Linked DNA regions of Macaca fascicularis. The protein of the gene in region 1 purifies or fractionates together with the protein of each later gene. This does not show direct contact. Links are inferred from orthologs where the notes say so. Each region holds a gene or a part of one and is shown on either strand. Other genes may lie near its edges.

Region 1 (4,460 bases):
GCAGAAACAGAGACTCAGAGAAGTGAATTTACTTGTCCAAAGTCACAGAATTCTACCTTAGCTAATATTAACCTGGTGCTTACTACCTATCAGAAACTGTTCTAAGCACTAACTCATCTAATCCTCACAGTAACACTATGAGGTAAATTCCATTATTAACCATCGTTCTTCATTCTTTTTTTTTTTTGAGATGGAGGCTCACTCTGTTGTGGCGGCTGGAGTGCAGTGGAGCTATCTTGGCTCACTGCAACCTCTGCCTCCCAGGTTCAAGCAATCCTCTCGCCTCAGCCTCCCAAGTAGCTGGGATTACAAGCGTGCCCCACCACACCCGGCTAATTATTGTATTTTTTAGTAGAGATGAGGTTTCACCATGTTGGTCAGGCTAGTCTTGAACTCCAGGCCTCAAGGGATCTGCCTGCCTTGGTCTCCCAAAGGGCTAGGATTACGGGCGCACTAACTTGTCCAAGGTCCCACACTAGTAAGCAGCAAAGCCAAGATTCAATCTAGCTTAAAGTCTTCCTTGAAACAACTTAATGCTGACACTTGCCTACATAATGGTGGAGCAGTCATCCAAACCCAGGTCTAACTCCTGTGTGACAAGGATGGCTCTCAAAACTGCTGCAGTGCAGACAGGCTCTAGAAAAGCGGGGAATAACAAGTGCTCTGGGGACTGCGAGGAAGAGGCATTTAAACTGCATCTTGAAGGAAGAAGTACTTGCTGGACAAAAAGAGCCATCATGCAATTTAATGTTTGTAAAATAAATGAAAAATAAGTAACCCTATCCAACGAAAGACTTTTAAAAAGATGGCCCAGTAATGAAGAGCAGAGAAATTAAACTTTCTTTCCCACAGCAGGCTTTAAAGGGACTGAAGCCTGCTATCACTTGCCTGCTACAGCTAGGGCTTCTAAAGCCTCCAAACTCTCCTTACAATTCCCCCATTTTACCTGTCCCCAAACCGGACAAGTCTTACAGGTTAGTTCAGGATCTGCGCCTTACCAACCAAATTGTTTTGCCTGTCCACCCTGTGGTGCCCAAACCGTACACTCTTTTGTCCTCAATACCTTCCTCCACAACTCACTATTCCGTTCTTGATCTTAAAGATGCCTTTTTCACTATTCCTCTGCACCCCTCGTCCCAGCCTCTCTTTGCTTTTACCTGGACTGACCCTGACACCCATCAGTCCCAGCAGCTTACCTGGGCTGTGCTGCCGAAAGTCTTCAGGGACAGCCCTCATTACTTCAGCCAAGCCTTTTCTCATGATTTACTTTCTTTCCACCCCTCTGCTTCTCTCCTTGTACAATATATTGATGACCTTCTACTTTGTAGCCCCTCCTTTGAATCTTCTCAGCAAGACACCCTCCTGCTCCTTCAACATTTATTCTCCAAGGGATATCAGGTCTCTTCTTCCTTACTCTACTCTTTACAACAGGGCTTTACGCAGTCACCCCCGCCTTCTTGGACTGCACTTCACAAACTTACACCATTATCCATTATCTACCCAACTCCTATAAAGCAACCCCTTCCCCATCTCCCTTCGCTGACTCCTTTTTAGATTCAGTCTGCCTGCACCCAGGGGATTAAAAAGCTTTCTTGCTCACACAAAGCTTGTTTGGTGGTCCCTTCACACAGACAGGCTTGACAGGTTTCATTAGAAAGTACTCTTGATGAAGGAAATTAATTTTGACCACATATTTTTAAAAATCAACAAAGAATCGATAGGCGCAATTTGCCTTTTGTAACATTAAAAATCAGTTAATTCTGACTTCCAATATTGGTTTCCTTCAGAGACCTTTGCAAGACACTCTTTCAGGTCCTGAAACACAGCCACTGACACACCAAAACGAGCTGGGGAATTCAGGTTAAGAACTAGAAGGAACAGGGGCCCGAGTACAAGTTGTGGCTCAAACGCCGCAGAGCTGGGTTTTCTTTTTCCTAGCAAACTGATTTATGACCACACGAAGGGCAGCTGCAGAACCAGTTAGACTATAAGTACTGTTCCCAAACAGCCCTAGAGGAAGGACCATACAGGGATGGGAATGGCAAGGGGAACTCTGGGGGTCATCGCTTGTTCCCAAGTTCCGTGAGACGCCTCAAGTCCTAATTCTTGCAGCAGCCAGGGTCCCCATGGATCCTGCTGCCCAAAACGTGCGAGCCCGGGGAGTTGGCACAGCCTCAAGGCAGCCCGACAAGGTGCCTCCACGCCCCCTTGCGGACCCAAATGATTGAGGACGATGTGCCAATTAACTGATAGGTGCAGGGTTTCAGAAATGCTCTCTCAGTTTAACCCCACAAAAGTCCTTGAAATGAGGCGTGGTGATCAGCCCTGTTTTACAGATGTAAAACACCGAGGCTCAGGGAAGTGAAGGAAGACTTGTCAGCAAAAAGGAAAACCTAGTGAAGGCCATCGTTGGTCTTGCTCCTTTTAGCAAGGAGTAGAGGGGCTGGGGTCTCCTCGGGACCTCACACCGACCCCTCTTGCTCTCTTGGCGGACGAGGCGCAGGCTGTCAGCCGGGAGGCCTGGCGGCGTCCAGGTACACGGGAAGACGGACAGCGCGGTGGGTGCCAGGGAGTCTGTCGGGCATAGGGCTGCAGCAGCCAGGCTAGGGCGCAGCGCTCACCACCCGCTCGTCGGCTTCTGCCAAGCAGCCCCGCGTGGCGAGTCCTCAGGGACCCGGGCTGCAGCCGCTAAGCGCGGGCGCACCAAGAACCATCCACGCGCCTGCAGCCGTCCGGGCGCCCCACGCGAGTCGCAAGCCACGAGCCAGGGAGCGCGTGCGCGCAGGACTGCAGCGGGCACGCGTTGGCAGTGCCATCGTGAGCTCATCCGCTGTGTCTCTTGCCTTACCGTAGCTGCTCCCCGGTGACCAAGACCTCAGCCATGCGCTCCAGCTCCCTTTGCTGCGCCCCGCCACTCCCGCTGGTACTGCTGTCACTGGCAGCACTGCCAGTGTTGCCGCCCTCCTCCATGGTTGGGGCCGTGCCGCTACCACTGGCTCCGCTGTCCGCCGAGGGTTTGGGTGCTCGGATCAGTCTGCCCTCACAGACGCCTCCCGCGCCATCTTTGTTCGGGGCAGCTCCTCTGCTCTGAGCGGATTGGCTGGAGAGGGAATCCCTGTGGGTAGGCAGACGCGCTGTGCTAGTCCGGCCCCAGAAACTTGAGCTTGGGGGCGTGGCTAGAGCCCCTCGTGGTCGGGGGGCGGGGCCGATGGAGCAAAATATAAACATCTGGGCGGGGCGCTGCTTCCGAGCTGTGTGTGCTGCTGGAGGCTGAATTTGGTGAGCTTCTCTTTACCCACAAAGCTCATGCTGTAGAATCCTAGGGACAAGCCTGGAGGTTACTAGTGTGAAGGCGTTGTTATTCTATGTTCCATACCCCAAGTTGCCAAAGAACAAAACATAATTCAACAATCTGGCCAAATAGTCAACAGTGAAGGTTATACATGTCATTGCAGGGCATGGAGAAATTAAACATTCTTCTCTCCCCAACCTCTCTCACCAAAGACGACTTGTTTGTCTTATGTTGTAATCAATAAGGAACGCAGGCCTAGGAATCAGTCGGACCTGGGATCCAGCTCCACTCCTGTGATGTCCTATTTAAATGTGTTTAATCCTCCCTTACAAAATAAAAATAATTACGGCGACCACTTTTTGACATCTGCCGCATTAAAGATACTTCAGATATGTTCTTACCTCGTTTAATTATTACAATAAATCATAAAATGGATATTGGTGTTTGTTTTGCATCAGGATGCAGGCTTGGAGAGGTGAAGTTACTTTTCTAAAGCAAGCAAGTAATAAGTATAAGAAGAGCCGGGCACAGTGGCTCATGCCTATAAACCCAGCACTTTGGGAGGCCGAGGCGGGCAGATCACCTGAGGTCAGGAGTTCCAGACCAGCCTCACCAATATGAAGAAACCCCATCTCTACTAAAAATACAAAATTAGCCAGGCGTGGTGGTGCATGCATGTAATCCTAGCTGCTTGGGAGGCTGAGGCAGGAGAATCGCTGGAACCCGGGAGGCGGAGGTTACTGTGAGCCGAGTTCGGGTGAGCCAAGTTAGTGCCATTGCACTCCAGCCTAGGCAGCAAGAGCGAGACTCCGTCTCAAATAATAATAATAAGTATAAGAAGAAATCTAACCCAGGCCATTCTGGCTTCAAAGTTATGCTTTGAAAAGACTGAAAGACTGCCTCTTAAAATGGGGATACAATGGTATTGTCTACCCATAAAAGATCATGAAAGGAAATTTGATTAGTACCAAATAAATGTTTCGTTTTTCTGTTTCATGCAGAGTTGGAGTTGGTCTGCAGGATGGCGAAGTAATGTTTATGTCAGTATTCATGTGTGTTGAGCATTTATTCTGTGCTTTACATTGTGCTAAACACCTTATCCTCACAAAACCCTGGAGTTTGGTATTGTTTTCAACTTACAAATGAGAAAGCTTAAGTATAGAAAGAT
Region 2 (3,813 bases), on another chromosome or scaffold:
CTTGCTTTCTAATAAATCTAACTAACCTTAGACATTTTGTATCTTGTTAAGAACATGCCTTCAATATCTACTTAATTATCCCGTGCCATTTCCCCACTGTCTTAACACACTCTAGTGGCTTTACATAAGTGACTAAACTTAACTTTGGTTTATAATCAAATTGACTAATGTTTGGTCAAAATAAAGATAGGGTTCAAGATTATTAAAAAAAAATACACATACTAGTAGCTTTACATAAGCTTTACTAAACTTTGGTGTTTATAACCAAATTGCCTAATGTTCGTTCAAAATAAAGATTGGGTTTAAGATTATTACAAAGTTTTTTTTTAAAGGCAAGCAAATAACAAAAAAGCTATAACGGCTCTTTAAGTTTGCTTTATCATTTTAGGCTTTAAGATACCATAAAGTTAGTTTAGAGCTTAAATCTTGATTCTCTTATATTCGTCACGCTTTGTGGTATTGCTTAATGTTTCATCAGTAAACAGTTCTTAACCTCCTCACTGGAATTGTTGAGGTTTTACAAGATAGTAATGTGTATTACTCTGCAGCTTATAGAAGAGAACCACTTTGGAGTCATAGAGGCAGTACTGAATGACTTTGATCACAGATTAGAGATGCTGTCATCACGGGTACTAAGATTTGCTAAGGGCAGCTGTAATAAAATGATCTTTGGATGTATCATAGGAATTACTGGTAGAGAGGCTAAGAAAAAGTTATGATAGAATTAATTTGCTCACTTTATTTTGTACATGCTAACTAGCTATGATTTTTTTTTCTGCAAATACGGTAGAAAATCAGTCATAATAGGAAAAAAGATCTCTAACTCCAGAATGGAGTTATATGCAGAGAAAAAGATTTGGTGTAGTCAATGGGTTTATATTTCCGCCAGAACACTGCGTGTACCTAATCAGTCTCCCACTCTGACCTTGTACATCAATTCCAGTATTCAGCATATAGTATCAAGGAAGGGGTATCCACAGGCCTCATCAAGAGAGAGCTGCTGGTCCACCAGTTCTAACCTCAGCGGTCCTCATGGACTCCACTGTGCTAGAATTACCTTGGGCGGAAGCTTTACCCGATGGCTGTATGTGATATCTCCCTTCCCACCTTGTCTCATCTGTGCTTTTTCTCCTTTACTGCCTACAATCCCTGTCTCCCCAGAAAAGTCTTTCCTACACCATTTGTCTACATGGTTTTTATCAACTCAGACATCAAGAGAATGCCTAAGAACTAAATAGAATTGACGTTTCTTGTTTGTTGATTTTATTTAAATAGTAATACAGGCACAGGATTAAAAACAGTTTCAAATCATATAAAAGGAAATAGAATAAAAAGTAAGGCTTCCTCCTAGGTTAGTGCTTGGAAACACACAGATGGTATAAATGTATACATATAGCTTTATATGTGTGGTGTGTACTGGAAGTGAGATAGAAATAAAGAGTTCCAAGATAGTGAAAAATTATATCTGTATGGAACAGATATAAAAAACTTACAGATAGTGTGAATCATGTGTGGGAAATTGTTTCACAGAGGTCTGTTTTTCATTTAAGGCTCTGGGATATTGAATGTGGTGCCTGTTTAAGAGTCCTAGAGGGACATGAAGAATTGGTCCGATGCATCCGGTTTGATAACAAGAGGATTGTCAGTGGGGCCTATGATGGGTATGTCTTTCAGATTTTCAGATGTACTGCTATAACTATATCAACAAGAAAAAGAAATGTTGTATATTAAGCAACTCTGTATGTACCAGGTCCTATGGTAGGTTTCTGTGTAGTGGTGGATGGCAGGTATTATTATACCAGTTGTTTAGGTGAGGACACTCAGGCCCAGAAAGAACTAAATCTTGCCTCAAATGACAGAGGCAGAGTCACTGTGGTTCCTAAACTTATGCTTTGAGTCATTGTTGTAAACTCCAGCAATAGCTGAGGTTGAGTGTACTCACTTCTTTGCTTTACCCCTAAATTAAGCCAGGCGCTCTCTCTCTGTCTCTCTGTCTCTGTGTGTGTGTATGTGTGTTCTTTTTCTCTCTGTGTGTGTGTATGTGTGTTCTTTTTCTCTCTGTGTGTGTGTGTGTGTTCATGTGTTCAATAATAAGTTTCTTCTTTTCCCCTTTTGGTAAATTGAACAAACCCTCTTTAAAACACCTCACTATATTTTAAATGGGCAAATGGCAACTGTAAATCTTTCCAGATGACCTTATATATACTTCCCAAATGGGTTGGTTGGTCTGTTTGTACTCCTATTACTAACTTCCAGCATTTGCTTAATTTGGAGAAAGGTATCCTTGGAATTTCACACAGAGCCCTAGCTTCTGTCAGCAGCACCTCCTCAGCCCTAGAGAGTCCCCTGATGAATGAACTTGGTGACACAGGTTATCAGGTCCGGAACTGAATTTAGATAACCTGAAGTTGTTTTCTTATCTCCCTTAAAATAATATTTCTTTAAAATTTCAGCAATTCTGAGAATGTGTTGGTTCTTAATTTTTCTGAAGTCAAGTGTAATTGGTTCAGATGATTTGTAAAAACATAAGCATGTTCCCCATTAGCTTTTATAAATAGGCAGTTCAGATGCACTACTTTTTGTCAAGGAAATGTTTGACAGCATATAAATTGTTCATTTTTCCACTAATCACATCTCATTTCCCTTTCTAGGAAAATTAAAGTTTGGGACTTGCAAGCTGCTCTTGACCCTCGAGCCCCAGCGAGCACATTGTGTTTGCGCACATTGGTGGTACGTGACCTCTTAAGACAGGAATTGGTTCCCTGTGCTGGAGGATGACCATTTGCAGATAGCCCTGTCTAGGTGTATCACAGGAGCGCTTGTGTATCTCACAAGATGCCTTCAGAGAATTTCACTGTTCATTTTGTCTAGCCAAAATCAGAGAATATTTGATGCTTAAATTACTGTGAGCACTTTTCTAAGGGGAGACATAATGCAACTTCAGATATGAAGGCAGGCATCCTGATTTGTAGGTGGACTGGTTTCCTCATAGGGCAAGCAATATTTCCTTCTTGCAGGTTTGAAGATTTCTTAATATGGCTACTTGTGGTTATGTTATGTTTTAATAACAGCACATTTTTATACTATATATAAATTTTTATGCTATATGTAAGTACTGTTGTATTTTTGAAGAGATAGTCATTTGGGAATATTGGTAGATTTAAAAAAATTTTTAGTAGCTTTATCTTTTATTTCTATTTCTTCACTTCTTGCATTTACTAGAAGATGCAGAACTCTCTTTCTTCTTGATTTTAATGGGAACCCTTATAATGTTTCACCATGAATTTTGATGCTGGCAGCAGTTTGAGGTAGACCCTGGTCATGTTAAACAAACTGTCCTTCTGATTCTAGGTTTTTCCAGTGGATTTTTAGAGTGCATCAAGAATGGGTATTATGTATTGTTGTTTACTTTTCTAAGGCCCTTTGTGAGATGATCTTTGAAATATTGGTAGAGTCTAAGATACAGAGTTGAATGAAAGAAAAGGCCTAGCAGGGGGTGCCGGGCGCAGTGACTCATGCCTGTAATCCCAGCACTTTGGGAGGCTGAGGCGGGTGGATCTCAAGGTCAGGAGATCAAGACCATCCTGGCTAACACAGTGAAACCCCATCTCTACTAAAAATACAAAAAATTAGCCAGGTGTGGTGGCGGGCACCTGTAGTCCCAACTACTCGGGAGGCCAAGGCAGGAGAATGACGTGAACCCCGGAGGCGGAGCTTGCAGTGAGCGGAGATCACGCCACTGCACTCCAGCCTGGGTGACTGAGCGAGACTCTGACTCAAAAAAAACAAAAAAGGCCTAGCAGGAAAAGAAAG

The links.
Region 2: the proteins of DEPTOR (region 1) and FBXW11 purify together in Homo sapiens (affinity purification with western blotting; 4 studies listed by BioGRID, with this or other methods). This does not show direct contact. The link is inferred for Macaca fascicularis from reciprocal best matches to the Homo sapiens genes DEPTOR and FBXW11.

The regions. Positions count from the first base shown.
Region 1 is NC_088382.1:129,483,809-129,488,268, reverse strand, and holds the start of DEPTOR (DEP domain-containing mTOR-interacting protein), read right to left. Parts: upstream 3,090-4,460; 5' UTR 2,971-3,089; coding exon 2,849-2,970; intron 1,397-2,848; exon of another isoform or gene 1,197-1,396; intron 1-1,196. UniProt on the Homo sapiens protein: Negative regulator of the mTORC1 and mTORC2 complexes: inhibits the protein kinase activity of MTOR, thereby inactivating both complexes. DEPTOR inhibits mTORC1 and mTORC2 to induce autophagy.
Region 2 is NC_088380.1:178,660,164-178,663,976, reverse strand, and holds part of FBXW11 (F-box/WD repeat-containing protein 11), read left to right. Parts: intron 1-1,550; coding exon 1,551-1,661; intron 1,662-2,651; coding exon 2,652-2,730; intron 2,731-3,813.